Linked DNA regions of Lepisosteus oculatus. The protein of the gene in region 1 purifies or fractionates together with the protein of each later gene. This does not show direct contact. Links are inferred from orthologs where the notes say so. Each region holds a gene or a part of one and is shown on either strand. Other genes may lie near its edges. The genes, in order: phf6 and lyar.

What was found.
Region 2: the proteins of phf6 (region 1) and lyar purify together in Homo sapiens (affinity purification with mass spectrometry; 3 studies listed by BioGRID and IntAct, with this or other methods). This does not show direct contact. The link is inferred for Lepisosteus oculatus from reciprocal best matches to the Homo sapiens genes PHF6 and LYAR.

The regions. Positions count from the first base shown.
Region 1 is NC_090703.1:48,794,725-48,811,225, reverse strand, and holds the start of phf6 (PHD finger protein 6), read right to left. Parts: upstream 7,576-16,501; 5' UTR 7,387-7,575; intron 7,377-7,386; exon of another isoform or gene 6,734-7,376; intron 5,751-6,733; 5' UTR 5,712-5,750; coding exon 5,574-5,711; intron 4,276-5,573; coding exon 4,174-4,275; intron 3,881-4,173; coding exon 3,747-3,880; intron 2,969-3,746; coding exon 2,922-2,968; intron 2,038-2,921; coding exon 1,874-2,037; intron 1,741-1,873; coding exon 1,597-1,740; intron 822-1,596; coding exon 717-821; intron 1-716. Other genes in the region: cab39l1 (calcium binding protein 39, like 1), read left to right, coding at 16,081-16,197.
Region 2 is NC_090696.1:43,711,104-43,727,579, reverse strand, and holds the start of lyar (cell growth-regulating nucleolar protein), read right to left. Parts: upstream 6,836-16,476; 5' UTR 6,743-6,835; intron 6,526-6,742; 5' UTR 6,466-6,525; coding exon 6,344-6,465; intron 5,383-6,343; coding exon 5,268-5,382; intron 3,994-5,267; coding exon 3,886-3,993; intron 1-3,885. Other genes in the region: zbtb49 (zinc finger and BTB domain-containing protein 49), read left to right, coding at 8,505-8,656, 8,866-10,001, 14,226-14,272, 14,761-14,834, 15,645-15,727. UniProt on the Homo sapiens protein: Plays a role in the maintenance of the appropriate processing of 47S/45S pre-rRNA to 32S/30S pre-rRNAs and their subsequent processing to produce 18S and 28S rRNAs. Also acts at the level of transcription regulation.

The DNA.
Region 1 (16,501 bases):
ACACTGAACTGAGCCGCTCCGGGGAGAGAAGGCAAGCTCTGCTCTGCCCGAGAGCAGTGAGCCTCTGGGAGATCAGCGTCTCCCAGCCCCGGTACTGGAGGAACAGTTCCCAGCTGGTTTTCATTCCAGCTCAGCTCTCCACGCAGTCCTAGAACATGGAACAGCACTGTCCCGCCTGCTTGTTCAGACTTCGATCTTAACTTGCATCTTCGGTCAGTTCCGAGCGTCAGAAATACCCCCCCCTCCCGGGGTAACAGACTGGGGCACAGAGGTACCAGAACCTTACCCTGCCCCTCAGACTACACAGCCCCCACTGACTGAGCCGCCGGACGAACAGCAGCAGGCGGGAGGGAGGTTATCACACACACACACATGCATCCCTGGGCAGAGGTCCCGAGACTCGGGAACTGCCACAGGGTTGCCACCTGTGACAAATCCCCTTCCACCTTTCAAGAGCCCAGAACAGATTCACAGCTGTGCCCCAGGTAGAAGAGTGGCACTGATTACTCTGCGATATAGAGCCAGTAACCCTCCAGGACCAGGAGGCTGGTAGCCACTGGTCTGCCTCAGTGTTTCTCAGCCTCATCCTGCCCACACACACATGCACGCTCTCCGCCAGCCCCAGCGCAGTGCTAGCCGTACGGTAAGAATCTCATTTCCACGCTGAATTTCCTCAGAGCTCGGGCCTGACTGACCAGCGAGCGAGCGGCCCTTACCATCCTCTTCCCTCTCTTGATCTCCTGGATGACGGTCTTGATGTCGAAGTTGCCGAACTCCGCCCGGGAGGTGGTGGTGAGCTGCACTGTCCCGGAGGAGAACAGCTGGAAGCGAACGTTAAGAGAGCCTTCAGACCCGCTGTTTCCCTGCCTCGCCCCCCCCGGCGGCCCGGCCAGGACACGCGTCACCCCCCAGCTTCAGGGCAACGGCAGCAAAGCAGAAGGGCTTTTTGTCGTGGTTTTCATTTTAAAAAGTCACTCATCTTACACTCCCTGCAGTGCTAGAACACGGAACCGCGGCGCCCCAGGGGACACAGCGCTGCCGGAACACGGAACCGCGGCGCCCCAGGGGACACAGCGCTGCCGGAACACGGAACCGCGGCGCTCCAGGGGACACAGCGCTGCCGGAACACGGAACCGCGGCGCCCCAGGGGACACAGCGCTGCCGGAACACGGAACCGCGACGCTCCAGGGGACACAGCGCTGCCGGAACACGGAACCGCGGCGCTCCAGGGGACACAGCGCTCCCGGAACACGGAACCGCGGCGCTCCAGGGGACGCAGCGCTGCCGGAACACGGAACCGCGGCGCTCCAGGGGACGCAGCGCTGCCGGAACACGGAACCGCGGCGCTCCAGGGGACGCAGCGCTGCCGGAACACGGAACCGCGGCGCTCCAGGGGACGCAGCGCTCCCGGAACACGGAACCGCGGCGCTCCAGGGGACGCAGCCCCAGAAAACAGAGCAGCAATGCCCCCCCACCCCCAAGGTCTAGAACACAGAATAAGCAATGCTCCAGCCCCACAGGTCTGAGAAGAGTTCCACACAACCCCGCCGGCTCACGAGAGGGCGAACAGCCCCCCCCGGCTCCTTCCTGACGTACCATGCACTTGTAATGGGCGGCGACCTTCTTGGCGTTGGAGGCGTGCAGCTTGCCCCGGGTCTCGTTCTCCTCCTCCCCCGCGTGGCAGAAGCCGCATCGCGGGCCGGTGTCGCTGGGGCTGCCTCGCAGAGGGGACCGGTCCCGCTTCACACAGAGAGCCAGAGATTACACAGAGAACCACACAAGGGCGCCGTTCACTCACGCGTGGGGGGGATAACCCAGGTTAGCCATTTCTGCGCGGCTAGGTGTTCACGGTTAGGGAACGCCGATGTCTCACATGCGACGCGATCTCCACGTCGTCCGTGCCATGCGAGGAGGTCGAGCGCGTGTCCTCCGATTGGCCCCGTGAGCTGGCTTTGACCCGCCCCTTCTCCAACCGCCCCCGCCCCCTCCCCCGGGGAGGGGAGGAGTCTGAGTCGTTGGCCACACCCTCTAGCTCATCTGCAAGACAAGAGAGGACGCAAAGGTCAGAGGACAAGAGCATGAGAAACGTTACACACAAAAGGAGGCCATCTGGCCCAACTGGCTCATTTGGTAGTTAGTAGCTAATTGATCCCAGGATCCATTTCTTAAAAGAAAGAAACATCTGTTTCTTAAAAGAGTTCAGTTGCTCCAGACTGTCAGTGCAGGACGTTTCTTGAAGTCCCTGAATATAAATGGCTGCTCTAGTCTGCAGTGATTCCAGAGAGCAATATCGTTTCAATAATGTGGTGGCAAAAAATTCTAAACAGTATTGAAAAAGAGGCCTTAACAGTGTATCATTCAATTCTAACACAACATCCCTTTAATCGTCTAAACTGTTATCCACGTATCCAGATGCTTTGTTTGCCTTTTTAATTGCTTCCCCACATTCTTTGGAAGATGTTTATGTTGACACATTTACATCATAAGTTGCCTCTTTTAGATCAGCGTTTCCCATTTTCCCAAGTATTTTCCAATACTTGCATGCAAAAACCCTGCACCTCTCTACATTCAAGGTCACCTGCCAGGTGTCGCCTCTGCCCAGTCTTGAATTGCATCTAAATCTTTTTGAATTTCATTTGGTGCCCCTGGAGTGCAGGTTAATCCTCTTTGTAAATGTACCAGAGCCCAGACCCCTGACACACATTCAGAAGAGCAGCGGCCCTTGTACAGGTCCCTGTGGCACCCCACTAATCACGTCACCCCAAGAACTACACTGTGCTTTTACAAAGACAGTCGTGAGACCCCTCAAGCGATTACGCTCAACGCAGTGTGCTCTAGACTGCGAGGCTGCGAGTAAAATAAACACAGAAATTGGGGGGCAAGGAAAGGACTGAATGAAAGACGTCGATGGACATTCCTACCTTCGCTGGAGTCTTGCGAAGCATCCCGGTGCTTGCGGCAGTACACCCTGCCAGGAGAAGGAATCAGAAAGACAGGTGAGCAGCCGGCACGCTCCTCATCCTCTGCTGGGCGCAGACGACGTGAAACCAGAAAGAAACGAGCCGAAACGTTCGGAAGAAGACGTCGTGCGCAACCGGATGGCCTACAGGAGGCAAGAGGGCGGGAGAACTTAACTCCAGCCCACAAGAGCTGTAGGACCTTAGTCGTTTGGGCTCTCGCTGATCATTTCTAACTACGGTAGAGACGCGATTATCCGACCTTTGCTTATCCGACATATATGTAAGTATATACAGTGTATATACTGTACACTGCTCGCGCGCGTGCGTGCATATTTTGCCCAATCCGATGCTGGGTCACGTACTGACGTGGACGTAGCTGCGTTTGCCGACTTCGCGCTCGTGATGATTATTTTGCCTCCTGTATTTTCGAAGCGGCCGCTGCTGATGTCATGTTACCGAGACGCGGGCGACACCCCGGCGCAGGGAAGAGAAGCGCATCTGGGAAACAAGCGCTCGTTCTCTTAAACAATCGCGAACAATAGTGCTGTGCTCTCGTTATTTTAGCATTACAGTGGATTAATCCACCAGATTTCATACGCATACTGCATGTCCATTCATCTACGATTTGTCTACTCATTATCCCGCATTATCCCACATCGTCAATTATCCGACACACTCCCGGTCCCGTTGAGGTGGGATACTCGGCACTCTCCTGTAGTCCCGGGCCCAGGACTGAAGGAGGTCAGCCGGGCCCAGCCGGGAGCGCACCGCCCGCTGCGTCCTTACAGGTAGATGCCCTGGGAGGGGTTCTCCTTGATCTGGGCCTTGTCCCACAGGGCGCAGTAGTAGTGGTAGGTCCTGCGGCACGTCTTCACGTCGCAGCCGATGGTGGCGCCGGGCCGGTGGCAGGAAGAGCACATCTGCGAAAGGGACGGACACGTCAATCCCAGAATCCCAGAATCCCAGCGCGCTCTGGACTCGGCGCAGCGGGGGAGGAACGGGGGGAGGGGGTCTGCAGAGGATCGGGTTTTCCCGTGAAGGAACGGGACTCTACTTTGAAGGGATTCTCTGCGGGGGGGATGTACGAATGAGACGGTTGTGTCCTCGTCTCACAGACTCACGGGAGTCCGCGGCGGGGGGGGGGGGTGGGTCACCCCGAAAGCCGCCGCCGCCGCCGCCGCACCCTTGGGGGGGGGGGGGGCGAGAGACTCACCAGCTTGTTCCCCCTCTTGATCTCCTTCTTCACGTCCTCGATGGAGAAGCCCCCGATGTTCTCGCTGTCCGAGTGGGACGACACCAGGGCCGAGGAGAAGAGCTGGCGGGACAGGGGGGACAGGGAGAGGGGAGTGAACCGGGCCGGGCCGGGCCGGGCCGGCCGCTCCCAGCAAAGGAGCGCAGGAGGGCTGCGTTCCCAGGAAAACGCCGGGAAGCGGCCTTTTCACACTGAGAAAGGTTCCTGCTCCATCCGGTTTAAACAGATACACCAAACCACCGGCGTGATGCGCTTTCCCGTTATGACGATGATGAGCGAGACGCTGGACACGCATGCGATAACCACGCAGCTACAAGGACTCAAGAGTTCAGTCACGAACCGTCCTCTGTGTGGCGAAATTCAGAAAAGTAGCTCATTTTTCCCCCCCCACTCGCACACAGTTAAGCTTTGCAGAGTACACACCCTGAATGTGGCCAGAATTCAATTTTCTTTCAGTGGCACACAAGATTTACACCTCCCTCACTCTCGAGGAGACGGACTCTGGCCAGTCTCCGCCTCAATCCTGCGGTCTGTCAGTGAGGTCTACTTCGCCATTCTGCCTAGACATAACCCCAGGTTCAGAGCTCGAAGACTCGAGAGTCCTTGAGTAGAAAAGACATCTCTACTGGCAGGACTTTCAAGACACCTGAAAGAGGAGAATCGGACGACTGTGCCTGCAAGTCTGACGTGCGATGACTCTCAAGGTTACCGGCATATCGTTTTTCCTGTTAAACACATCCGAGACCCCCATCTTGGACACCTTCGTAACGCACAAGAAAACATGATCACTCCCGTCTGCCGGCCCAAAAAAAATATATTTTTTTAATGCACACGGGTGGCCTTCGCCCAGAAAGAGCCCCGATAAAACCCGTGACCCCATCAGGGGGTTTTTGTGTGTGGAGGTGTAGAACCCGTTTCAGAGCAGACGTGTGTACATCATCTGAAGTCTCCCTGTGGCAAAATCGGCTGCGAGGACAGGAGGTGCAATCCTGACCGAGCTCACCGAGCACTGCTCACAGACCAGGCAGACACTTATAATAATAAGGAGCCCCACTGAGAGCTGGTGTGTGGGGAGCGTTCTGGCGCACTATGGCTGCCATCGCATCATCCAGGTGGGGCTGCACACTGGTGGTGGTGGAGGGGAGCCCCATTACCTGTAAAGCGCTTTGAGTGGAGTGTCCAGAAAAGCGCTATATAAGTGTAAGCAATTATTATTATTATTATTATAAGTGTCTGCCTGGTCTGTGAGCAGCGCTTTCAAGAGTTCTCTTCCCGAAGTCTCCTGCAGGTCCTGTACTGCCCCCCCGCCCCCCCCAGGACGAACCCCTCAAGCGCGCGCGGTCCGGACGGCCGTCCCTCACCATGCACTTGTGATGCGCCGCCACCTTCTGGCCGTCGGCCACCAGCAGCTGGCCGCACTCCTTGTCCTTGTTGGTCTTGCAGAAGGCACATTTCCGCAGGCGCGCGGGCCCTTTCTTCTGCCCCGACGAGCCGGACATGGTCCACTGGCCACAGCACGCTCAGCTCCCGACCCGGCCCTGTGGGGGGGCAGGACAGCCGCGGGCACAGAGTGAGCGCAGGGGCACCGGACCGGGGACCCCTCTGCCTCTTAACGCCGGGCGGGACATGGAGCTAAGGGGGACTACTTATCCCAACTCGGGTAACGTGACAAACAAGACACAGTCAGCGCGTCTCACAGTTCGGCCCTTCATGACATCACCCTGCAACACAGTCCAGCCCTGGGGTTCCGCTGTTTTTAAAACAGCAGAGGCTCCCGATGAGGTGGGATTTCTTAAGGACACGACCCCCCTGGGGCAGAAGGCTGCTCCACGCCCCTGGTCTTAACCAGTAACGCCAATCACATCAGACCCACGCTGCCATCGAGACTCCAGGTGTCCCGAAGTCCAGCTCCGGGTGACAGGGAAAACTGCACATTTTTACTCCCAGAAAACGAAGGTATCGTGGCACAGCGCACACACGCTAAATGGCAAACACACGCACTCCCAGCTCGCCGAAGAGCCTCTCTTCCCCCCCCAGGACTGCGGCGGCTGACACTGCCCTCTGGGCTCCGGTTAAAACAGCGGGTCGTTTAACAGTTAAGCGCCTCTCCAGCTCCGAGCGCACCACCGGCGATTCTAAAATCAAAACCTCAAAATATTAAAACGTTTCACTCGAGAAATATATTTACTATTCCACTTGTACAAATACAGTAATGGTTACATTTTAGCTGAGCATATTACAGTTAATTTATTCATATTGGTGCAACCCATCTCGACCAATGTTTTTATTTTAAAAAACTGAGCGATAATCGATAAACTGCACCCGATTGAGGAAAAAATAATAACTGCAAAACCTGATCAACGCATGAGCACGAACCCACCACCGCCCAAAACTATTTCTGTGTTATTTATCTTAACACTGATACTAAGTATTTTATTTTATTCGTCTTGCCCACTCCACGGGCAACCCGCGCGCGCCGCGCGCCGCGCGAGCAGAGCTGTCAAAGTAACGAGACACAAACCTCACCAACTCCGCGCGAACCTCAACTTGTCCCCCACCCCCCCCCCCCGTGCAGCTGGGAAAACGTGCTCAAAACTGCCGGGTCCGTAACGAGGGAGGTGGCGGGCACATGCGTCAATAAAACCACACGTTCCGAGTGCGAAGTCGTTGCTGGTTTTGTTTCGTGAAGACCTCTCCCAGTTTGAGTTTCGAAGCTGTCCAGGTGCGACCCCCGCCGCCGCGTCCGCCCGCTCCGTCTCCCTCCAACCTCGACCCGTACCCCTTACTTCAATGCGAAGGACAACTTAAAACACCCCCCCTCCGTCTCCACGCACCCCCCCCCAGCAGGGCCTCAGTCCGGGCAGGGCCTCCGCTCTCGGCTGCAGTTAATTCAGTTCTTCTGGGGGGCGGCGGGGGGCGGGAGAGTGAACAGGCCGTAAGAGCGCGCATATGCAGCACGACAGCAGGATCTAGCGCATCTCCATTCATTCCGCCGCCGCGGCGCCGGCGGTCCGGGGGGCAGGTCCGCCGCCGGGGAGGGCGCGTTAGCATGCGGCACGCCTCGCGTTCAGCACCCCGGGACGGAGGGCACCCCCGTTTCAGCCCTACCCCGCCGGCCCCAGATACACTACCCCGCCGGGGAGGCTGATAAAGGCCGCAACACAGACATCTTACCCTTCTACCGTCTCAGTGTCACAGTCACGTTGCTCCACTGCTTGTGGGGAGGGGAGAGGGGGGGGCGGGGTGGGTGGGTAAAAAAAAAAAGGCGTCCGTCCTGTTTTGTTTTTTTTTCCCCCTCTATTGCGATGTAGCGCTCGCTCGCGGATTCTCAGCTTCTACTGCGCATCATTCGGATGACGTTGCGCTCTGGGAAAAAAAAACACACACGCGCGCTCGCCGCGGACACGCCCCTTACGCACGCGGCGGACTCCGGACGCTCGCGTCCACCCGCGCGCCCGCCGACGAACCAGAAGGGGGGGGGGTGGGGGAAGGTGACTGAGGGTCTCGTGCTGTCGCGAACTATCTCGGCGTTGATATCATGAAAGCGGCTTCGGCTTTGGCTTCGTGATGATCAATACCGCCGCGGTGTCTAAAACGGTTGTATTATCATAGCAAATACAAAAACAACGATGGCAATTAGAGTTGTTGCAGTATTCTTTAAAAAGCAATGATTTCAAAGGATGTAAGGTTTTGCCCTACAGAATATATATAGATTCCAGCGCGCTGTTTATGGGGGTAAGGGCGTTTCTTCCTGATTCAGTTCGTAGTAGTATCTCACTCTCCTGCCCGAACTGCTCTTGTGTACTGGGATGCACCGTGTGTCAAGTGCCTTGGGATCCTTTGGGATGAATATTCCTATATAAATGCCGGCAAGCGGTTCTTAATATTTTATGACACATTTGCAAGTCACAGACATTTGGTAGGGAGCCTAGTATTGGGCTACTGACTAGAATATGCTGTTTCTTTACGCTGTGTTGGGTTAAAAGTAACAGGTCCCCCTACATCGCCTTATCACCAGGAAGAGGCCTTCAGCGCTGGTTTGGACATCAAGATAAACGAACTGCGATTTATCTCTGTAGGTGTCAGTGTAGCTACAGAAGTACAGCGAGGGGCAGATCAGAGAACGCAAGTGCTGAAGGATTTAATCTGGGATCTTTACTACTGCTCTCCTAGGAATAAAACAGCTTTCGGAAAAACCTGAACATATAAGAGCTGATAACTGGGGGTCACTGTTTTTTTCTGGTCATGGCTTTAGCTGAGCTCTCAGTTTAACTCAATTAGGTAAAATAATTCAGCCATGAACTGAGCCAGTTGCTTCATTTGGACTGTTTCCTCTGCTCGGGTCTCAATAGCAGTGACGGGCCAGTGTCCTGTCCAGGGTGTGTGTGTGTCCTGTGACGGGCCAGTGTCCTGTCCAGGGTGTGTGTGTGTCCTGTGACGGGCCAGTGTCCTGTCCAGGGTGTGTGTGTGTCCTGTGACGGGCCAGTGTCCTGTCCAGGGTGTGTGTGTGTCCTGTGATGGGCCAGTGTCCTGTCCAGGGTGTGTGTGTGTCCTGTGATGGGCCAGTGTCCTGTCCAGGGTGTGTGTGTGTCCTGTGATGGGCCAGTGTCCTGTCCAGGGTGTGTGTGTGTCCTGTGACGGGCCAGTGTCCTGTCCAGGGTGTACCCTGCTTCCTGCCTGTTGCATGCTGGGATAGGTTCCAGCTCCCTCGCAGTTAGAAAATAGGAGGATGGATCTAACAAACCAGTCTCTGTTTCAGCTAGGCTTAGAACGATTGCTTTCACGTAGCGTCTGAACAACCAAATTGGTTACTAAGTAAAGATGTGAGAATAACGCTGGTAAATGCTCAGATTCTAGGCGTTCGTAGTGCTGTACTGACCCAGTGGCCAGCTACCAACCCAAAACAATGAGCTGGATTCAGAAACCCACTGTCTGCACAGGGTCTGTCCTGAATTCTAGCCTTCTGTTAGTGTTCCTGAGCTGGCAGTGGTTTTTAAAAGTGTGCCAACTAAAGGTTCAGTAAACTTAATTAAGAAAAAAAAAAACTCAGCCTCAATAAAACCCATCAATAAAGGCGCAGGGGTCCTGCAGCACCAGAATAGGGCAACACGGTTCAAGTCTCATGCTGTTCGTTTCACTGAAGGGATTAGCAGGTCATATTGTTTCGGTGCCTTCGTCTGCAGCCACATACACCATTTTTAAGCAAAGATCCTGTGCAACAAGTCTATATCTGTTGGCGTGACCTGTTTTGGTATCACCTAACCAGGTGGGCCACGTGGTGTTTTAACCACACTGCTAGGAAGATGGGGACATGCGTCATGAGGGTTATCTGGTTTTCCTTTGAAAAAGCATGTGCATCTCAGTGGAAAACATTGCTCATCTATGAGAGGGGAAGACGAAATTACTTTGATTAACAGGTAATATGTACAACCAACGGCCAGTCGTCTCACAGTATCAAAGTCAGTAATCCAGGGCTCGTGGCAAACTGCTCTCTGCCCATCATGTGGACATCCTGTTGGGAGTTCTGGTTGAAAAACTGGTTAAACTCGTTTATGTACCACAGATCCAAGATATTGTACCCAGATAGATATACTTTTTCTGCCTTATCACAGTGCTGAGGTGTTCCAGGATATTCAAAGCAGGATCATTCTAACATTATCAGCTTGAGGAAATACAATGGATGTGTTTTGGACAGTGAAAAATGTGTATACATTGATCTGTTAGTAACCATTTTTTTCCACTGAAAAAATTACGTAGAAACGTTTAAATGAACAAAAGAGGAAGTGTACAACACTTTGTGACGCTCAAGGAAACTGTGATTATATGAGCTTTTGAGTGAAATGTAGTGTAGGTCATGCCTATACCCTGAAATACAGTAGATTGGTCTATTGCAAAAATCTGTATTTGGAAAGTCTTTATTTTCAGCTGAAGCGTGCAAAACAAATGCGGTATCTTTCACCGACTTTTTCCTTTCTTTTAAATGTTCTCTGCCAGGCAGTGTTAATGGATTCACGGTAGTTCCGGGCGTAAAAACGTACTGCGTGCAGGCAGGACAGTGCCCCCGCGGAACGAGCGCAGGCCCCGCCCCCTCGCTGGCTGCCGGGCTCTGATTGGCCCAGAGCAGTGTCAGTCCGTGACCCGGGGCGCTCGCCAGCCCCGCGCACGCTTTCCGCCCAGCCACTGAGGGAGGAGGGGAGGGTGTGTGCGCGTGAGAGCCCGAGCGAGCTCGAGGAGGAGTGCCGCCCGGGCTGAGGGCGAGATCGCCACGCCTCGCGGACGAGGAGCACGCAGCAGCAGCAGTTTACGGATGAAGACAATAGTGACGTTCTCAGTTTAAACTTCACATTTTGCAGTTGGTTAAAGGAACCGTAAAAGGCCAGTCCGGTGAGTAGAACTAGTTGTTTGTCTCCCTCCTCCCGAGATCGTTCTGTTGTCTTTTGGGTTTTAATATTTTCCGGCTGTCGGAAGCGGTGCTCGCCTGTGTCCGGGGTGATCATTAATTTATTTGAAATACTAGCTCTCCGGCGGGCAGCCACCGGTAGAGAAACCAAACGCGGCCCAGTGAAATCCCCTGGCTCAGCTGGGCTGTAAAAGTTCGCATCCTTCATTTAAATGTCACGTTTGTTCCGGTGTTGATAACAAAATTGTTCTCGATTTTTTTTTGGGGGTAGGAGAAAACAAAGTCACAGCAACAAAGACAAGAGTCTCCTCAGAATGTTCTGGTACTTTTACATTCAGCTGAATTATTGCTACGTCTTTATGCGAGGTGATCGATAGTATTTGTTTTAAAGTGAAGACAATCGAGTGTCACCGGATATTACTTTGGAAAAATACCAGCTCATTCAACTGCGTAGGGACAGGAGGCGGAGACGAGGGAGCTGGTCTAGGTAACTGAAAACTGTCACACAAGCGGCGGCGGTAAGACGCACACACACACACAGCGAGGTGTTAACACGGACAGATGTAAGGGGGGGCTTTTTTTTCGGAAGCTCACAAGCGCCCCCCCCCCGACACTAAGGTATGTTGCTCATGCCGGTGTTTCTCCAAACGAGGTATAATTCCGTGGTTCGAACCGAGCTGTCAGAAACCCGTCACGTCTGCTTCTGCAACCCTGCCCCGTTGCAGAGCTGCGCAGTAACTCTTCTTGGAAAAAAAATAGATGCATATCGGCCGAGTCACATTTTTGAGGGGCGACCTTGCGTCACTTTCTTTTTTTTTATTTATTCAGAAGCAGATGTTACATAGCTGTTGAAACATCCTCAGCATAACTTCTCAGACCGTGTTTGTAGTGCGGTGTAATATCTGCTGGCGGTTGGCTTTGACCGACGGTATTGACAGATCCGGTCAGTGGACTAAATATATCTATACATATTTGCCGAACGTTTTATCTGCTATCCTGTTGTGTCATTGTGCCATCGGAGTAGTTCAAAAGGCGCCCCTACTTTCATGCCTGAGCCAGAAGGCTGGACTAGCGATCGTTTTTTTTTTGTTTTTAAAGCGGTCACTCGCGTTATTTAATGCGATGTTAACGCTAATGCTCTTTTCGATCGATGGGTCTGCCGCGACAGCTCCATTAAAGGGATGGCACTGCTTCCACCACAAGCTCTCGGATTTTTTTTTTTTAAAAAACGACCTCGGTGTCTCTCCCTAATGGACCCCTGTCTCTTGCCATCTGCTCGAACTGTGGACAGTCCTTAATGGGTGGAAAGCTAGCGTTTAAAGATACCAAATTTACACTTGGGATAGAAAAACAGTCTGTTCACGGCGCACGCAGATAGATTCCTGTAAAATGTTGTTTTGTTTTTTTTCCTCTCTGGAGTTTACTTTCTCATACATGTACACCGGTGTAAGATGCTGAAAACGGATTCATTATATTGCATTGACCGGACAGCATGATGGACAAACTGAATTCAAGTCCTTGTCAGATAACAGTAGGTCAAAGGGCACAATTCCAGTTATTGGAATCGGAGGGCTTGTAAACACGTTAGAGAAAAAGATATTGCTGCTCTGTAATCTGTCCAGAGAAGAACAACCAGTTGAATTCTGGGGCGTAATTCAACTTTTTTTAGTCTTGACGACTGAGGCAAGTGTTCAAAAACGGTTAGGGCCCTGGCACAGTCAACACAATCTTCACAACGAACGGTGAAACACGAACCAGAGGGCACACGTGGAGGCTGCCTCGTTTAGAGCTGAGGAAAAGGAGGCACCTCTTTACACTAAGGGTGGCGGGGGTGTGGAACAAGGTGGCCCAGTCCTTGTTGAAGCCAATGCATGCCCCCAGCTGGTTTCAGGAAACAGCTGGATGATTCTGGGATCAGTGATTGTCTATCTGGCAACCAGGCCTCCTCTCGCCTCTTGACTGTTCTACAGTTCCTTCCTTCTGTATCTCGCATCAGGGAGACATGGGGGAAATCGAAGCTTTATTGGGTTAAAGTATGTCTTTTAAGATAAGATCACTTTATTGGCCATATACAATTTTTTGCATTAGGAATTCGTCTTTTTGCAGACCCCAGCTTGCTCTCCATGAGACACACAGACAGGGAGAGAGAAGCTGGGGGTCAGAGCGCAGGGTCAGACATTTATACGGGGCCCCTGGAGCAGTGGGGGTTAAGGGCCTTGCTCGGGGGCCCAAAGGAACAGGATTCCAGGCCACCTTCCAGTCACAGGCGCAGATCCTGAGCCACAGAGCCACCACTCATCCCCCTAAGGTTAAAGGTCGTTAGCAGCAGTTTTTTAAAATAAAAAACATGTTTCGATCCTGGTGAGCTCCAATAATCCTTTCCTTTATAGTGGCAAGGGTGTGCCCATTTTCTCACGTCAGACGGTTCAGGGCAGCTCTCTGGCTGAGCTTTGGGCTTTCTGTTTGGTTTAAGCTGTTTGACTAGTTTTTTCTTTCCCCCCTTAAAGCACTCTGCTTGTATTCTGTGAATGACGTCAGTTTCTGCCTCCCTTACCACTGCTTGGCACAAGCGCTTCAGAACCACATGTCCTTAGAGTCCCAGCGCTCGGTGTTGGAGGGAGGGAGCTCCAGAGGACGCGTGTGGGCCTCTCTGTCTGTGCTGCCACTGTGTCCCCGGCTCTCCTAGTGAAATCCGAACTCGCAGGGGGATCCAGGTGAACTTTGTGTCTGTTGCCATTAGAATGCATGATTACTGAGCTCCCTGTGTGGTTTCAAAGGGAGGTGGGGGTGTGGAACAAACTGAAGCCGACAGCTGGGTGAGATCCTCCAATCAGGACAGGAGTCACGTCGTTACACAAAGGGAGGTGGGGGTGGGGAACAAGCCGCCCAGCCCTGTTGTTGAAGCCGATACCCTGGCTTCTCTCAGGAAACAGCTGGGTGAGCCCCTCTGATAATCTTACCAGACAGGCCTCCTCCGGTTTGCAGCCCTTCTGGTGTTGTAACCCAGTGTGACCTCCAGGACAGTTCTGCCATAAGCATTTAAAAAAAAAAAAAAAAGCCCCCATGTGTAAAAAAAAAAAGAAAAAAAAAAGTCCCATCGTTGCTCCATTCGTGGAGAAAGCCTCAAATTGGCTGGAAAAGCCGAAAAAAAATGAGGATACTCCCTCCTCCGATAGCAAACAACCCATAAGAGGAAAAGCTCCAGAATTGTGATGGGCAAACATGAGCTATCATACTTTTTTTAGTTTTTTTTTTTTTACTGATGCACTCCTGCAAACCCCTCTTCTCTCCAGCCTCAGCTGGAACTCGGGATGTCCCTGAACGAGGGGTTAAAAGGGCTCCCGCAGGCTGAGCTCCTTGAGGCGCACAGATAGCGAGAGTGTGGGAGGAGGGGGGGGGGTGCAGACTGACTGACTCTGTCTTATCAGGAAGAGGCTTCATTCCCACCCATCCTCCTTAGGAGCGCAGCTCACACAGGAATGCCAAGCGGCGCGCGGAGCCCTTCATGGGACACAGGGACGCTTCCCAAGACCTTCAGCAGTTCCCACGTATGCGCTTTGCCGTGTGCTGTCCTGCAGGGAGCGATCTGTGTGTCTTTAGAGCCGAGAACAAGACCCCTGCCGGTCTGGGCCTAGCCCCGGCTTCGCCATGTGTAGCTCTGGTGTGACCTTGGGTCCTCGTAGGTCGTCGGGGATCCCTGCGGATGCGGGGCCTGAGTTCCGCTGAAAGTTTTTCGGGGGTTCCTCGACCGGGCGGACGTTCAGACCGGCTCCTGATGTGAAAACTCCTTGTACCCCTCTCGGGCTGTCCGAGTCCCGCTGCGGTGAGGTACTGGTAACGTCTCCAGCTGTGCGCTGCAGCCCGGAGGCAGTATTATGTGTTGTGGCTCTGTGCTGAGGGTGACGTGGTTTGTCAAGCACAGCAGCCACGTTCACTTCTTCACTGATTGAAGAAGTTACTACTGCTTCTGCTTAGGGCTGTGCAATACCCTTCCACCAAGGGATGTGTGTTGGGAATAACACTATAAACTGCTGCAGTCTGTGGTCTGCAAGCAGTTTCAAAACCCAAAGTATCAATCAGCCGATTGAGAGTAATTTATATCCTCTGTGTTCATTTTTTACTTGTTACCTAGCTCATTGTCTGTCCAGCTGTCTTGTTGTTCTCTGGTGTTTACTTGCTCGTGACCCTCAAACAGAATCTGAAGAAGAACTGGCCAGAGTGAGCAGGTGTGCTGCTTCCTCTGTATATGCAATGAAAGTACATTGCAAGAAAGTACAATGCCGTCTACCTCATGTTGAATATTATGTGAGTTCAGGCAACATTCCCCTGCTCTTCTCTGGTCTCAGGGGATTGTCATAGTGAGACTTTCTACCCTTTCTAATAGGGTTCTCAAACCCAGGTCCTGTATCGTGTGGCTTCTGTTCCAATCTGAAGTAGTAAGAAAAACAGATAAGTTGTGTAACTAAATTAAAATTCTAAAGGATTTTCCTTAAGGTCTAAAATGGGCCGTTACCTACAGATCCACTCGGAGCCTGGCTGGAAGCATTGCTATTATGCTGTCGATGAAATAACTAGACCAGCCATGCAAATGTGTGAACATGGGTGGAGCTAAACCCCAGAAGACAGCAGGAAGTGAGCTTGAGACTCCTGGCCTAGAACAGCAGAGATGTGATCCAAGTATAGAAAATTATAAATGATCTGTAAAGAAGGGGAGCACGCCAGACTCCGCGGTGAAATCGGGACAGAGTCACAGCTGGAAATTAAAAACGCAAAGAGCCGTGAGTGTCTGGAGCAGGCTTCCTAGGAATAAATAGTGGCCGAGACCCAGAGCTTGGGCTTAACGTGGCTGAAATGTTAGAACTGATGAGCTACTAAACAAGTGCAAGATGTCCTGGCTGGCTTCCTCTATTTCGTAACCTTTTTCTCATGTTCTTAAGTGTAAAGTTTACTCGTTAGAGATTCAGAAGGGGAGATAAACCTCCACTCACCTGGTGTCACCTTTGCATCCCTGTAAAAGCATGAAAGCTTGAGAATGGATCGCTTAAGAAAGTCTTTCATTCTTAAATGCATCTGCGCTCTGGGTCCTGGTGCATTCTGGCTCCGAGCCTTGATGCAGCTTTTTTTTTAATGGCTCTAAAAAGAAATTGTAAGAGCTGCGTGAGGCAGGAGAGACAGTTTTTAAGTTTTCTGGAGTGAAATTACCCATAGTGTTTTGTGTGAGGTTAAACAAAGGTGGGTGGGAAAAATTTGAAAGCCTTAAAATGTGAATTTATATTTTTTACTTACCATTTCTTATGGTGTTTTACATGGTGCATTTGCACAGCCGTGTGAATATGGAGCTCATGCGTGCGTTCACCATGCACGGGCCTTCAAGTCTCTTGTCTTTCCCTCTGGATCTCTCAGGCGCTGGTGAGTGTGACACAGTGCCTCCTGCTTCGCGCTTGGACAGGGAACGTCTCCTCAGTGCAATGCCTTTCCCGTTTGGAAAATCGCAGAAGAGCCCCGCCGAGATCGTTAGGAGCTTAAAAGAGAACATGGCTTACTTGGAAAAACTGGACACCTCCGAAGGCAAAAAATGTGAGAAGGTGAGTCTCTCAGATGAGCTCCAGCAGGGGTGAGGATTATTTTTATTTTTGCACATCTGGAACGAGTAGAGTTCCTACTTCAGGTGTGTGAATATGTATTCTTCAGTCAGTCCTTCATATTCCTTATCCCATTCCTGCCAGATCACGCACTGACTGTTCTTCAACTGCATTCTACACTGGAGTACAAGCCTGTGAAATTTATATTCCTGTGTTCTGTTAGACAGCAGGCATTTCCTGGTGTTTACCTGGGCACGGCAGGCGTAAATGCAAATTATTTGTGCCGACAAGTAAATCTCCTTTCCAG
Region 2 (16,476 bases), on another chromosome or scaffold:
GTATGTAACAGGTATAATCAATAAAAGAAATTTTACAAAAGAGAGGATGCTAATCTGTTAATCTACCTTATAAGGTTACTTCTCCATTCAAGACTAAAAAGATTCAGTTATTTAAGACTGCCTTCACAGGACATTGTTTTAAACCCTGGAATGTTGCCTGTGGCTCCTCTCGGGACTGATTACAGAACAACAATATCTTTTTGTGTAATATGGCGATTGAAATTGTACAAAGATGTTATTCTGTTCTTTTGGAATAAGCGTAGTCAGTTCAGTCCCAACTCTAAAATAAGAGCAATAAGAGAATAAGAATAAAAGTATGTATACAGCATGACAAAATGAAGTGAGGATATTTTGCCACGGGCACCATTTTGTAAACATCCTTAAAATTAAGAAATGAAGAGAAAGGATACATCTGTTCAAACCTAGAAGTGACCTAGAAGACAAAAGTGCTGCAGATACAGAGCTGAATCCCATGTCCACATTTCTTGCAATTTTGTATTTACTGAGATTATCCAATCATCTCAGTACAAATAGCTTAGAAAGAGCTGAATTAGAGGAACTCTCATGAGGTATAGTGAGGTATACCTATAGTATTACTGCACATACACATAATGACTCACCTACTGAAGACCGAGTGTTATTAATACTGCTCCTCTGCCCACTTTGGCCTAATTATCTTCAATTATCACAAGCTATTGTTACAGGGAAAGCGCTTTAAAAAAAAAAAGTGAAAAATAACACAAACATGAACTACTCCTTTAAAATGTAACTTCTATAAAATGCAAAAATCAACAGACACTATTCCACTGCTTCATTCCTAAAATGAAAATAAAGTAAAAGCCTATGAATAAAAAAGAAACACATTTACAATAGTAAGATGCATATCAAAAGATGCCAACACTACACTTTTAATTCAAAGGTCAAGTACTGAGATTACATTACTTCATAATTTTACATCTGATGTCCTGTTTTCGTTAGACCACTTTGAGGGGCATGTCAACTCAACAATCTGAGTTGAGGGCATTTCCAGTGATGCTGGGGTACATCTGAACCTCATCAGGTTGGCAACAGTACAGTTTAATGTATCAAACGCGAAAATGAGTTCCAGCTGAACCAGAGAGAAGTATCCTTACACAGGGTGTAGATGCAAGGTCTTGAATTGCAGATGGCAATTGCAACAGTATGACGCCAAAGGAAATAAATAAGACATTTGTTTAAGGATAATAAGAAATTTCAAACACTCCTTAAATGTATAGACAAAACCATCATTAAAGAGATTTTAGTGAGCACTGTTTAAAATCTGAAAGCGATTAAAAAGCTTTGAAAATCATGCACAAAGACTACAAAAAATGTAAAATAAATTAATGTTCATCACAAGCCATGTTTAGCTAGAGCAGCAAAATTATCTTTCACCATTCTCACGAATACAAGCATTATGATTATGGTTTATCTCATGGTTACTGATAATTTCTATTATTTCTATTAAGTTACAAAACTTTTTTTAAACCCAGTTTAAAGTAAAAGCATTCTTTTTACCCTTAAAAAGCTTTGCCTATCCAGTAATTTCTAAGTTTCCAAATAATGCTGGGAGAGGTTTCCTTGTTTTCATCATTCACTTATAAGGAACTGTCCCAACTGCCTCGGTGATATTGATGGAGTCTGCTAGGAGAATCTGTATGTTACCCTGTACCAATATAGTGGTAGGAGCTGTGAACTCCTGCTGAATTCACATGCTAAACTCTAACCTTCATGCTTGCTTGAGCACAGATGCTTCTCCCCCTCTGTACTAAACCCCCATCCTCTGTAAAAAACTCCTTAATAAGGAAGGAATATTTTAATTGCTCTCCCAGACCTTGAGTTCCTTGAGAAAGTACCTCAAAGAAAGGAATAGGTGGGTATATATAAGCTGTGGAGAGCCATATCCCCTTTGAACAACAACAATAATCCTCATTGTTGTTCCTTGTATGCATACAATAAAGCTTGGAGAACGGACACCTCAGGCTCAAATCTCTTGGTTTCTACAATATTAATCATGTGACACAAACACAGCAGCCCTGAGTAGGAGGTGACTAAAAAGACATCACTCACCAGCAGCAATGGGTACTGCATAATTCCAGGTACCCATTTACCAAAACTGAGATCTAGAAAACCCTGGACAACTAATCCCATTTTACAATTGGCAGTGCTCAGTTGATTGCACACTGCTGCATGGGAGATCCAGATAAAATCAGTTAATGACATATTTCAGGTTCAAACTTGTGTTCGTGGAGCTCAACATGGACTTAAAGACACCATCAGAGCTCACGTCTTTAAAAGAGATTTTGAGTTACAACCAAACCACATGTTAAGGAGCTTTCAGCAATTAAAAATTTCTTCTTAGGCTAATTCTTTCTGTTCCTAAACCCGAAACATCATATGAATTTAGAATTCAACTGTCCCATGACAAGTAAGCACCTCTATTAAAAACAAAAACCTGGTGACAATAGCTATGCATAACAGCGAAGGCTTTTAGAAACCCACTTGACTTTAAAGGCAGTGCATCAACTGTAGCTGAGCAAATGCAGTGGAGATGCAGGCAGCCATCTTTAGCTACATTTCTGCCCAAAATTCCAGCTCCGATGCATACCAGATATCAAAATAAACTTGCAAGTCATAAGTACAACAAATTCATAAAGTTATTAGGACAATTACAAAATGATTTATAGCAACTGCACCAAACTGTTTCCCCCTGGATAAAGGGGGAAAGTATCCTTTCTTTCTCTCTTAATCATGGACTGCCAGCTGCTGCTACTCTCTCTCTTGCTCTCTACCCCCTCCATGATCAGCACGCACACACCTGTTAACCATTACAGGACAATAAACCCTGGTGAGTTTGCAGCTCTGCTCTCCTGTACCTCCTTCCTCACTTGCCAACACAGCTAGGGAAAATAAGGAAGGATCGCTGGTAATTCTTTATTGTTCACCCAATTGCCAGGAAAGTGTTGCTTCCGACTTATGCAAGACTCGGGCTACATAAAGATTTGAGGAACCAAACCCGTAGGTAACCCAGGTAGTGGGTGAATAGGCATTTTATCTGTGATATATGCCTCCCCCCCCTCCTGGTTGCAGGTGCAGTCCTTTAGGATTCTCATTAAGTCCTTCCGTAAAGCATGGGAAACTTGGGCCTGTTTACTGGTCTCCAAGATCTAGATGTCATACGTCAATCCAGCTCATCCAACGCTCATTTTGGCTAAGGCCTGGCAAGTAGTACGTCTATGGCATAACTGTTAAGATTCTCACCGCACAGCAAAGCTGTTGCTTTTTGTGCAGCCTGAGGGCATGCGGTATAACACAAAAAAACACACTGGGATGAGCCAAGAAAAAGGCCAGCAAGAGAAATCCCAGTACATAATAAACACAGCACTATACAATGAGGCTGTCATCAATCAGTACAATTGGAGCTCTGTGGTGACTATACACTCCTACCCAGACTCCATCATACTTGAAACCCTCCACTGACTGGTCTCAAATTCACAACAATTAGCACGTTAACATCGTTCCACTTGCCGTCTAACTTAAAACAACTCAATGGAATAATAAGAATCACTTTCTTATTAAGTGACATTTTGCTGTTTCTTCTTCTTTTGTAGGATGTAGTGTTCATGCAATAGTCAAAATTCATTTACATGCATCACAGTCAATCTAAATGATGCCAAAACATTATCAATATCCAAAATGCATATATCTATACTTTACTTCTCATAATAAAGACACAGAATCTTACCTTTGAGTGTTTTACTTTGTAAAGTGCTAGTGGAAACTAATGCCTGTTAAAGAACAGCATAATATCACATAATATCATTATATCACATTTGGAATAACAGACAAGCAAACCAGTTCACTTACCTGAAACTTTCCTTTTTTTCTTGGAACATTGTCGTAGGAGCTCACTTGGGACAGCACCTCACGTAATTTTGGACTGATTCCTGGTTTATTCACTGCTTCATGGATTTTCTACAACAGATTATTCTCATAAATATTACAGGCAGTTATTTCTCGTGAGAATATTTACGATAACCGTGTAAGAATTGTGAACAACAAAACATTCAGGAGCCTGAACGATATGAAAAGTAAATCATGAGAAACATTACTAACATTACAAAAGAGGCTTTGAACACTTACCCTTGAGTTCCAAAAGCACTTTCCATTTTCCCTAAATTCACATGCTGAAATTATCTGAAATCATTTTTTCCAAGTTTAGCAAATAATTGCTCAAAGACAGTTGGGAAATGTGCTGAATGGGCCCCTTGAGTGGCTCAACAAGGTAATAGTGCTCATTCCAACCACAGGCTGTGCTTGAGCCAATTGCTTAATGCTGACCAGGATTGACCACATGGTGGCAATAGAGGGTTTAGACTGCTCAGCCAGAACTCTCTTAGCTCCCAGTAAAAAAGCAACCACAGTGATTTCCTGGATGCTGGCAGGTCTGGGGTGATGGCAGAGATGTGTATATATTACTGTCAATCAGTACTCAATGTCGTTGTAATGTGTCAAAAGTTGAATAGCAAGACAGGGGGCCTATTTTTTGTCCATGTGGATACAGGGGTCAGTGCAATTCAACTTGTTTTTTTATTAATAAAAATAATTGCCCACTCAACCTTAAAAAAATAAAACAAAAGTGCAGGACAGTTGCATCCCAACACATAAATATTTTACATGATTAAACTTTCAGGGAAAACAATATCCAGTTAAAAATGTCAAAATGCTAAAACTTTTTAATTTCACATAACCTGAATGATAATGACATTTGTTTACAACTATTCAGATTCAGTCCAAACCCAAGGATGCTGTACATAATGATAAAAATACAAACAAGAACACACAAAACAATTCATAATACACTCAGACATAGACGACAGTAAGAAGACGGGTTTTAGGTTTACAATTAAAAACAGAATACTAAATTACAGAGCACATAGATTTTATACTGCTCTGTTTTCTAAAACAAAACACTTAGTTTAGTGTTTTATTCTATAATAAAAGACATCAATGATTCTTTTTCTCACCCGCCTAGTGACAAAAAATACTTAATTTGAAATATAAAAACAGACGTGATTTACAGTTTTATAAAACATTTATCTATGATAGTACAAAATTTTCAAGCTGCATTTTCAATATACATCAGATCTATCATGATGATAAAATTAGGTTGCAGCAGACTTTCATGCCCTATGAACAAATATCGAGAAGTCTGATGTAGTCCTGAAGAAGTGACAACACTGATCTACCTGAATCCACTGCTGCTGTTTCACATCTCCCTTGTTACTCTTGGCTTCATAGCTTTTGCCTCCGTATTTCTGATCTTCACTGATGCATTTAAGGTGCGTTTTATAGTCTTCTCCCCTGTAGCAAAAAAACAACAACAAATGCATTATAATCCATTAAATGTGTTGAAGATTATCATTTCCTACAAGGATACTGTTAATATTTCAAATATTTTTAAGGTAGAAATATTAATACAGACTTAAACGGGATAGAGTCTTGTATGACTTTTGTGTATACAAGACTCATCAAACCAAAGTAGGGAAACAGTAAAAAAACAAACAATGCTAGGTTACATAACTAAAATCATCTTATTAAAATTAAATGAATTCAAGGGGTTTTATATTAAAATTGTACAATGCACTAGTAAGACATTCAGCATATCACATACAATTTTGTTTACCAGAATAGAAAAATTAATATTACTGCTCATTTCAAAGAGGAGTCTGATTCTTTTAAGTGAATGAATGTACTGCCAAAAGAACAGCTGTTTCTTTTTAGTCTTGGATAAAATATAGAAAAAGGGAAACTTGGTTCTGATATTGGAAATTCTCTAAGGCGTTAACAAAGTAATTTGAAAACATTTAACCATAAACCAAAGGTAACAAGTGAAAAGTATGCAGAAGTTCATTTAAAACTGAGAACAGGAGTCACTTCTTTCAACAACGAGTAGGAACAAACCTGGATTTTTTCAAGAAACATGTGGATGAGATCCCTAGATCACTTAACCGTTAGGAACCAAACGGCTTCCTCTTGATAGTAAGCGGTATTATTTTTTTTCGTTCTCAATTAACTAGGATGAAATACAATAATAGTAAACCTATTTTATGCGGATTATAAAATAAAAATTAACTTCGATTTGTTATTTAGTGGCTTTCAATGAGTGATCCTTAACGAAGGCAACGTTCCGCACGCACACACTGCAAACTACATTAATTCCACCCTTCCAGCAGAAAAAGAAAAAAACGAATCTGGGAAGTAACATATTTTGGACCTTAAAAGACCTTAAAGTAACATATTTTGGACCTTAAAAGATACTCACCAGAAATCCTTACCACAGTCAATACACGACAAACACTGACAGTGCCGACAAATATTCAGGTGTTTATCTACTTGTGCCCTCTTTAATGATTCTCCACATGCATTGCAGGTGAAGAAAACCATCCTGAAATACTTCGAATTTGGAACACAAAAATAATATTCCCCAATCAGATCTTTGCGACCCTGGAACCATAAAAAAAAACACGTGACAGCGACTAGGGTAAATGAAAAATCTTAAAATTTTAAATTCTCTGTATTAAAGATTTCCTAGTGAAAACACAGTACTGCAATGTTGATATTTTTACTTTAATTAAACCGTTCGTGTACATGTATACGAAATTAAAACTACATAATCATTTACTGTTTTAAACGTCCGAATTTACAGATCACTTGAACATACCTAGAGCAACTTCACGTGTTCCGGATAAGCAGTGTTACACTATTTACATTCCGTGGGAACACCGCACCCAAATTGATGTTCCCAAAAGTGCTCTGGATTAGTTTTGAATATAATCTTGTTGATATCGGTCGAAGAATAAATCGAAATTTTTACTTAGTCTTATAGTATTGACACAATATTAGTGTAATACGTTCAAGTGGCAATAAGAATGTACAAAATAAACTTTCAACAAAGTTAAAAAAAGACTAAAAACGATAATGGGTTATTGTCATATTGTATATACTGAATAATTATCGCGGGCAAAACCTAAATCCCTTTGATAATATACGTTTTCCGGAAATATATTAAACAGAAAGTTGCTCAGTGGCAAAACACTTTTGTTCCTAAATGAGATTTCCAGGAAGAGGATTCCAGACTTGCCATTCAGGATTCGTGTAGAGTGGAACTGGAAAAATTGTGTCCTCCTGAGTTCACATGACCCGCAAAACTGTGTTAATTGCTTATATTCATTATACTAGAAAATGAGGGCTTGGTGTTATTAACAGTTTAAACTTAAAAAAATCAGAAGGGAACCGTAACAACAGACTTAGCTCGGGCACAGAACAGTGAAAAATCCGTATTCGTGATAGGTTTTAAAGCCACTAAAGGGAGTGCCTTTACTATTTTGAAAGTGCATAATTTACTTTGGACCACTCCCTTAAATCAATAGTATCTAACCAAAATAAAAAACAAAAATCAACACACCTTTTTATCCCCACATCATTATTTTATCTCTAACCGCTAGGTGGCGATTTCGATCACAGTTTGTTGCGGAAGTGAGGTAAAGGTTCAAGAGGACGTGGTGACTGATCATCCAAACAAAACGGGAAAGAAGGTATTTTTTTAAAACATATCACTGAATTAAACTGTGCTTTGTTTAATATGTAACCTGTTCTGAGGTTCTGTAAGTGTGCTACAGAACCTGATATATACGTGTTTTATTGTCTGTTTTATATATTTGAGCACTAATTTATTTGCCTGTTGTTCTATGCTGGGCCTATTTTTGTCTTGGCAGGTCTCTTCAGTTTTTATATCTGGGGATACTGAAATGAGATAAAGGCGCCGTAGCTTGCGTGGTTTTTCTGCAGGCAGAAAGAAAGCAGCCACTTGGGTCAAGTGTGGCTGTGTGTTGTGTTGTTTAGTGGCCGAACACGTGCGGTGAAATTAACCAAAACTGCTGTGACACTTTCAGATGAAGAGTCACAGACGCAAAACCATTTCGCTGCAGCTGAAATCTTGAAGCTGTACTTGATTTCTGATATTTCACATTTTGTGCTCTCCATTAAGATGAAACGGTGCCTTTTCTTTCAATGTCCCTCACATTGCACCCTGGTGCATACTACACAGTCGTTCGATTCATATCGTACTTGGCCACTGTAGCTCGGGCTACACGCTCCCTCTAACTCATTCAGAAGCTTCTGTGTTAAAAGAATTGCTTTTTTTATAGTTTCCTTAAGATTTAAATGGCGGTCTCGTCACCCAGGTGAGGTGAATGAAGTAGTTCCCCTTTTGTATGTTAAGTGTTTTAGTTTCGTATGGGATGAAAATCTGTATATAAATGAGAGGAACTGTTATTCCTTCTACTACAGTTGTCCTTATAATTGTAACTTGCAGGGTATGTGCACTCATACTTTGTTTTTTTGCTCAACAGCCTAGTCATGTATGTGAAACCTGATGAGAATGGTCCTGGTTCTACGGGTGAGCTATGGAATGAAGGTTGAGCATGGAGTCTCTGTCCAGTCACAGCTCTTACCTACTTCAGCAGCTCCAAGAGCAGCGTATCCAGGGCTTTCTGTGTGACTGCATGCTGGTTGTCAAGGGAGTCTGTTTTAAGGCCCACAAAAATGTCTTGGCTGCCTTCAGTTCATATTTTAGGTAAGTTTACTAGCGCTAAAACATTCAGTAATGCTGAATATATATGGCTGAGCACTTTGTATTATGCATATGTTGGTAATTTCATTGTTAAATTGGAATGAAATGTTTAAAAAACTCTAAATCCTGGGTTTTAAAAAAAGCTACAGTAAGTAATATTCCAACTTTATGAATACATTTTTTGTTGTTGTTGTTGTTGTTTTTTTCTCCAGGTCCTTATTTCAAAACTCACCCGGTCAGAAAACTGATGTTTTTCATCTTGACATTAAAGATGTAGGAGGAATTGGGCAAATTCTGGATTTCATGTATACGTCCCATCTTGATCTGAACCAGGACAATGTTCAGGGAATGTTAGAAATGGCTCAGTGTCTCCAAATACCAAATGTGCTCAATATGTGCAATAATTTCCTGAAACCATACACTCCAGCCATAGAAGCATCGGGAAGCCTCCCTGGTAGTTCCTCATTCTCATTACCAGGTGTTTTGGCAACAGATACTGAATGCATACTTGGGGCCAGTTTGTCTCCTGAGATGGAGTTGCACGGCTCCTCTGAGGCTCAGAAACCTGCGTGTGCCACTACAGACATTGATCTTTCCAGAAGACCACAGACACATTTGCAAACCCCGGCCTTTGAACCACTGAGTGGTGCTTCAGTGATCCCAGATAAGCAGTTGAGTCATGGTTATAAGCTGCGAAACTTTTACAGCAAACAGTATTTTAAACAAAATGCAGCTCTGAATGGGGCTGTAAATCCACCTCATAGTACTGTGGTAGGGGAGCACTTTTCTTCCAGTGTTACAGACACAAACCCTCCAGTGGATATGCCTGTGTCAGCTGTCAACACGGCACATTGTGTGTCTGAGTCAGCAGGATCCTTGGGGTCTAGTTTTGTCATGTCTCCAGCAGTGGAGCACAATGCAAGTCAGAGCTCTGCAGGTGAGGGCTCTCCAATTAATAGGCAGGTTCGACCAAAAAAGGCAGTGTACCTTAAGAAATACGACTACCTGAGATCCCAGAAGGCTTTGGAGGAGTCTGTTTTACAGGCGGACGGGATAGCTGACAGCGCCCCGAAAGAGACAAATCAGTCTGAGCCCAGGGGCAAGGGGGCTAACGACCATTCCGCTGACAGCCACAGTGCAGAAAAGGAAAGTAAAGCTGCCCCCGCGCCGTGTTTGCAGCTTCCAAGCGCCTCGCTCGCACAGCTGGACGAGCCTGAGCACAACCCGGCAGCTGGCACGGCAGATGCTGCCCACCTCCAAAACTACCAGAAGCAATATTGTTGTGAGATGTGCGGAAAGACATTCAAACATCCCAGCAATCTGGAGCTCCATAAGAGGTCACACACAGGTAATTGGGCGTCAAATGGTGCTCTGTTGTTGTTGTTTTTTACAGAAACTTTATGAACTGCACATGCCGACAGGCAAGGTGCTTTTAAAGTTGGCCTTTTCTGACAACTGTGTCATGAGAACAGTGCTCCATGCAGAAGTGAACTGTTGTTATACAAATACAAATAGGACAATGGGGAACACTTTGCACTTGGAGTATAATTCCACTGGGTGCTCGCAGGGGAGGTGCGCTGGCTGTTTTACATCCCAGGAACACACTGTATTCCCTCTTGTTGATGTTGATGATATCTTTTCCGCCTGATTTGTTCAGATATTGCCAGGGTGAAGTGATCCTATGATCTTATTTATCCATCCATCCATTTTCTACTCACTTTATCCAATACAGGGTTGCAGGGAAGCCGGAGGCTGTCCCAGCAAGCAAGAAGTGAAAGGCAGAATTGATTTTATTTAGAAGTTTACCAAATTTTCATTTCTTTACAGTGTACTTTTTAAACAAGACAGTTGTTTGAATGGGTCAGCCAACTTGATAGCCCCTGAGTTTCATTGTGATTTCTGTTTGTGAACTGCACAGAAAAGCTCAATTATAAGGGACAAGAAGGAAGTGAATTTCCATTGAGATTCCATTGAGACTGGAAACAGCAGGACTTTATCGGGCACAAATCTGGTTATCCATCTATCCATTTTCTAATTGCTTTATCCAGTACAGGGCTGGGTGGCAGTCAGAGCCTTTCCTGGCAAGCAAGAGGCACAAGGCAGGATAGATCCCGGACAGGTCGCCAGTCCAAAGCAATGCACACACAATCACAAACATGCACACACTCACACCAGCTCAGGGCCAATTTTCCCAGAAGCCAGTTAACCAACCAGTATGTCTTTGGACTGTGGGAGGAACCCCATACAAATGTAATGCGCACAACTATCTCCACCTAGACAGCACCTCAGGAATTGAACCCAGGGCTCCAGTGCTGCAAGGCAGCAATGCTAACCACTGCCCCACCATACCACCCCAAATCTGGTTATGTCCTCTTTAAATGCAAGGTGCTAGTGTCATTGTAATGTGTTAGGATTTGGACTGGGTGAGACCTGAGGAAAATGTCATCTGGTACATTCAAAGTAGAAGAGTAAATGAAAAGGGACCCTTTATCTTGTCAGGAATAGAAAGGTGTGCTGTGTATTTTGTGTGATTGCAGAAAGGCTGCAGTGCGAAGGGTAGAGGTTGGTGTTTGGTCTTTGTGTTTATTTCTTCAGTGATGTGTGCTTTTCAGAAGATGAAAAGATTTCTGGAATGTCAGCAGGGAAACTCTAGCATGCCAGGCTTCTGGGGGGGGATGAGAAATGACTCATCTTGATGAACTTGCATTAGTGTTTTTATTTTTCCATTACTGGGAAAAAAAGTACCACAAAACATTTAATACAGACTTATTTAAAACATAAAATATTCAAAAGACATGATCTGTGATTCAAAGGAACATATATATTATGTGCATTTTTTACATAATTTCTATAAAATATAAAGAAGTTTGAACTATGTTGACCTGTTCAATGGTCAAAAATTAGACTACTAAAAGTCCAAGCAAATCACATCTTGATTTTTATAATAAGATAAGATTTTATTGTCCAGTGAGGGAATTTTTTTTATGGACACCCAGCACTACTGTACATTTAAATAGAATGCAAAAAAAGAGAAGAAAAACATTACACATTATACTATTACAAAAAAATAACAAAGAAAAACATTGCACATCATTCTATTGCACATGTACAGTATAACACATAACAACATGTAACATTTATAACACATCACAAAACATATTGCACTCTTGACATTTGTATTGACAGCTTTAATGGATAGTGGAGCAAAGGAATGTTTGTATTTGCTTGACTTACATTTGGGAACCCTAAAACATTTGCTAGAAGGAATAAGTGGATCTTCAGAGTTGAGGATGTGGGAAGGATCTGATAGAATTTTTTCCTGCCTGCTTGATTATGGATTTTTCTGCTGATTGTCTGCTGGGAATGGTGCTGTTTCACTCCCATGACCTTCAAAGCTGTCTGGATGAGGCGGGTAATTTGCGATTTAAAATGAACTGATAGATGACCAAACCACACTGAAATACCACACATGATAATGCTCTTGATTACAGCATGGTAGAAGAGTAGCATTACTTCCTGTCAAACCCCAAACACTCTTAGTCTTCGCAGGAAATATAAGCGCTGCTGAACTTTGGAGCAAACACTCTCAACATGAGTAGTCCAGCACAGGCTACAGTCTATGTGTACACCTAGGTACTTATATGAATAAACCTAAGTGATAAGTTCGTTGTGGATTACCACCTGTGAGTGATCACCAACTGTTCTGGGATTGAAAAGTATTTCTTTTTGTTTTTTTGCATTCAAATCAAGGCTATTGGTGTCACACCATTGCACAAATCTTTGGATTTCCGACATGTATACAGATGAGCTGCTACCTCTATGCATTAAGCCAAGAACAGCTGTATCATCTGAGAATTTGAAAATGAAGTTGCTTTGACTACTGCTTGTACAATCGTTTGTATAAAGTGTGAACAGAACTGGAGAGCTCACACAGCCCTGAGGGGCACCTGTGCTAATAGATCGTGACTCGGAAAGAGTTTTGTTAACCCTGACATACTGTGTGCGATTTGTTAAAAATGAATGGTACCATCTTATAATGTTATCTTATAATGTTATGATTATAATAGTTAGTAGTAGCTGTACATGTACAGGTACATGTATATTTAATGATAATGACTACATTTGTTTTGTGTAAAAGTGCTTTTCAATACACTGTAAATCAAGAGTTTGTGCGCTTTCATGTTGATTGTTATCATATGAACTTCATAAGCTGCAGAAGCTCTTGTCCCTGCTATTGATACATTCAAGTTATTCTGAAGCTTATTTATCTACAGAAAATATTTTGTTCCTGCTTGACAGTTAACTTAGAGATAAAAATATTTATGGTAGCTGCTAGAACAGTTTTTTTGTTTGGTTGTTTATTTTAGTTCATATGAAAGCTAAGCATAATTTGATATTCTTTTACCTCATGTCACAAAGTTATAGAATGCTACATTTTCACAAAAAAATTAGGTATTTTCTGTTTAAATGAATCATGCTCTTTGAAGTTTATATATATCATAATCTCATAGACTTATGGAAAAATAAATGCATGCTTTTTGTATTGGACTCAAGGATTTTCAAAGCACCCATCCATGCATGACATTTATGAAGAAAATATTATGTTACACTCACTAGTGTATCATAGTAAAATGTCTACTGTTTCAAAAGCTCAGTATAAGCATTTTGAGTGAGGGGAGGGAGTTTTCATTTGACTCTAAAATCAAAACATTTTCTTGCCCAAGGCTTTGTCAAAGTCTGTATTGTGGAATATTGTCAGCCTTTTAATCTTGCTTTATTTGAATGTAAGGAATTAAACATGATGCTTCAGGGTGTTTTATGTGGGGTTTTGTAAAGCTTTGAAGACTACGATGGGATCAGTTTTTTATCTTTAATGTAGACTTAAACCTACTTCATAACACTGAACTTCTTTAAGCAATCCTTTAAACTACCGTATAGTGTAGTTGGCATGGCACACAAATCAAAAGGCCTAGTTTCAGATGATTTTATGTGTGACTCCACACTGACATTACAAGATTAAGATTAATTCTTAATTAATTAAGGTTTCTGGTATAGGCTTCCGATTACTGTAACCATCACCAGGAAACTCTGTTTGCTAATTAATGGATGGATTAACCAGTCCTTAAACTACAGCTTGCACTGGAATATTTTGTTACTGTGGAAGTCTTAAACTTCAGTGTAGCCAAATTAGTGAGAGATGTCTGTGATAACCTGATGTTTTTAATCATTGAATTCTCTTGTCTAAACTACAAGGTTAAAGCTGGGTTGTGGGGTTAAAAAAACACTTGTGTTCTATGAGTGATAAATTGCATAATTTTTATGAAGTTTGTCTGCAACCAACCATGCATGTTTCGAATAGTAAGGCAAGAATGTGTGCTTATGAGTAGAGCCATTCCCAGTAAGATATCCCATCAGGCTTGCCAGTGCACCAAACTCCCTGTGTGCTTCACATTGTGCAGCGTTTCAGAACTTTCCACCACAGCAGTGTTTAATATTGTGATCAATTAAACTGTGCTGTAAGAGTTCATGGGTGAAATGTTAAAATTAGGTGATGTATTGTTTCTATTAACAGGTGAGAAACCTTTTCAGTGCAACATCTGTGGGAAAAACTTTTCACAGGTAAGCTACTTTCAGTGTGATACGCCCTTGATTGTAGAGCACTATATAGTCAATATTTCCTTGGAAGGGCCATATTTATTTCTCAGTTGCCCAGTGTCTAATATGGGCAACTGAGAAGAAGAAGGCTCCACGGCCGAAACGTTGTGTTCTCTTTCTTCTTTTTTTCAGCATGGAATAAACCTATTACTTGTTCCTTTGCAGCCTACGCATGCTGACGCAGCTACCCACCTGAACTACAGTGTTTAATATGTTCTCTTACAAAAATAGTGAACAGTAGATGGAGAAAGGGGATAGCAATTGAAGAAAAAGCTGACCAAAATTGCAAAAAGGAGGGAACATAAATATTCCTTTTGCTTTCTGATTAGCTACTGTCTTTTTAAACCATCTGGAAAATGTGTGGGGTGAAATTTCTTAGAATTTTTAAATAAAGTAAATCTGAATGAAGTTCAGTTTGATCACTGTTCCACTTTTGTATCTGAATGAACCAGGCAGGTAATCTACAGACTCACTTACGGCGACACTCAGGTGAAAAGCCCTATATCTGTGAAATCTGTGGAAAAAGGTAAAATCTGTTGTTTCTTTCATTATACAATACTGAAAGTAGCTTATTCATGGGAAGATGTTGATGCTTGATACTGACCATTGCACATAAGGCATAGTAAGCATCATAAGCATTTGATGAAGTACTATCTTTAATACAAAATCATTTTTCTTTAAAAGTGCCTTTTTTTAGTGAAGCCAATTGATTACATTTAATTATAAAGATGGTATTTAATTATAAATTAATTATAAATCTACTGTATTAAGTCTATTCCACATACACTTTTGATACACTTAGCAATTGTAAAACAGCACTTTATTGGGGGGGAAGAATTGGGAGAATTATTTAAATATTTTCTTTAGGAAGGGCATTATTTAAATGAAGAGGAACAGAAAAATGTTCCATTCAAAACTTAAAAGAACTTCAGTTCTATATACTTGGAAGTGTAGGACAGTCCTCTGAGTCCTGGAATGTTCTTCAATCTTTTTCTTTGAATTGATTTAATAGCAGGTTTGTCTTTTGTCAGAATTGTGCACAGTACTCTAAATGAGGATTTAGTTGTGCAATATGCATAAAATGTATTTATTGTTATGTTTGTATCATTTAATGGATAATGCCTTGAATATTGTTTAAAAACACTTAAGGACCTTTAAGTTGCATATTCTGAAATGTATAGGTTTTGTGTACTATAACATGTATTACTTGCCTTTAGTTATGAATTAGTGTTAGTTTTTTTGGTTCTCTGTTCAGGATTGGGCATGAAAAAAGTAACTTTCCCTCGATTTACAGTTTAACTATCATGGATGAGATTGTTTCTATTTTTCTTTACAGTTTTGCTGCCTCCGGTGATGTTCAGCGGCACATTGTGATTCATACAGGAGAAAAACCGCATCTTTGTGATATGTGTGGTCGAGGTAAGTTAATTTTTTCTGTATCGTCTCAGTATTTCGCAAGAAAAGATAGAGCAACTGCATTTGCAGTTTCTTCTCTCACTGCTGAAAGACAAATCAAATAATCTTTATTTTGTATAGTACCTTTCACGATACATCTCAAAGAGCTTTTAAATAAAATACACACTAAATGTAAATGTTTAATTCTAAAATAAATTAATCATGAATATAGAAGTGTGTTTTAAGACAGGATTTGAAAATGTTTGCCAAGATATGAAATAGGTAGGGAGATTATTCTAGAGTTTTGAGGCAACAGCACAGAAACCCAGTCTCCCAGTATTTGCAGCTTTGTTTTGTGAACTGAAAGGAGATCAGAGTAAGTGAACAATATGTAGCTATATAGAGAGTTAACAATTTACTGAAGTACTGAAGCCAAACCGTTCCATCTCTTAAAAGGTGAGCAGCATTCATTTAAATTTTACTCTAAAACCTATATGGAGGCAGGGCAAGGGATCTAAAATAGTTGAGATGTGCTAATGCATTTCAGTTGTACTGTAGTTATATTTAGGCAGGCCTCCAGGGTGGTTCAGCCAGTAAAGGCCCCTATAATTCAGGAATCGCAGGATTGAGGCAGGGTCATGTCGCTAGCAGAATGAAACTGAGTTCCCCCAAGCACTGGTGCACAAGTGGCTGAGAGTCGCCAAGGTTAGGGTGAAATTTGCAGACCAGGGCTTTGGAACGTGGACTGATTCCAGCACCATCATTAGTCATCT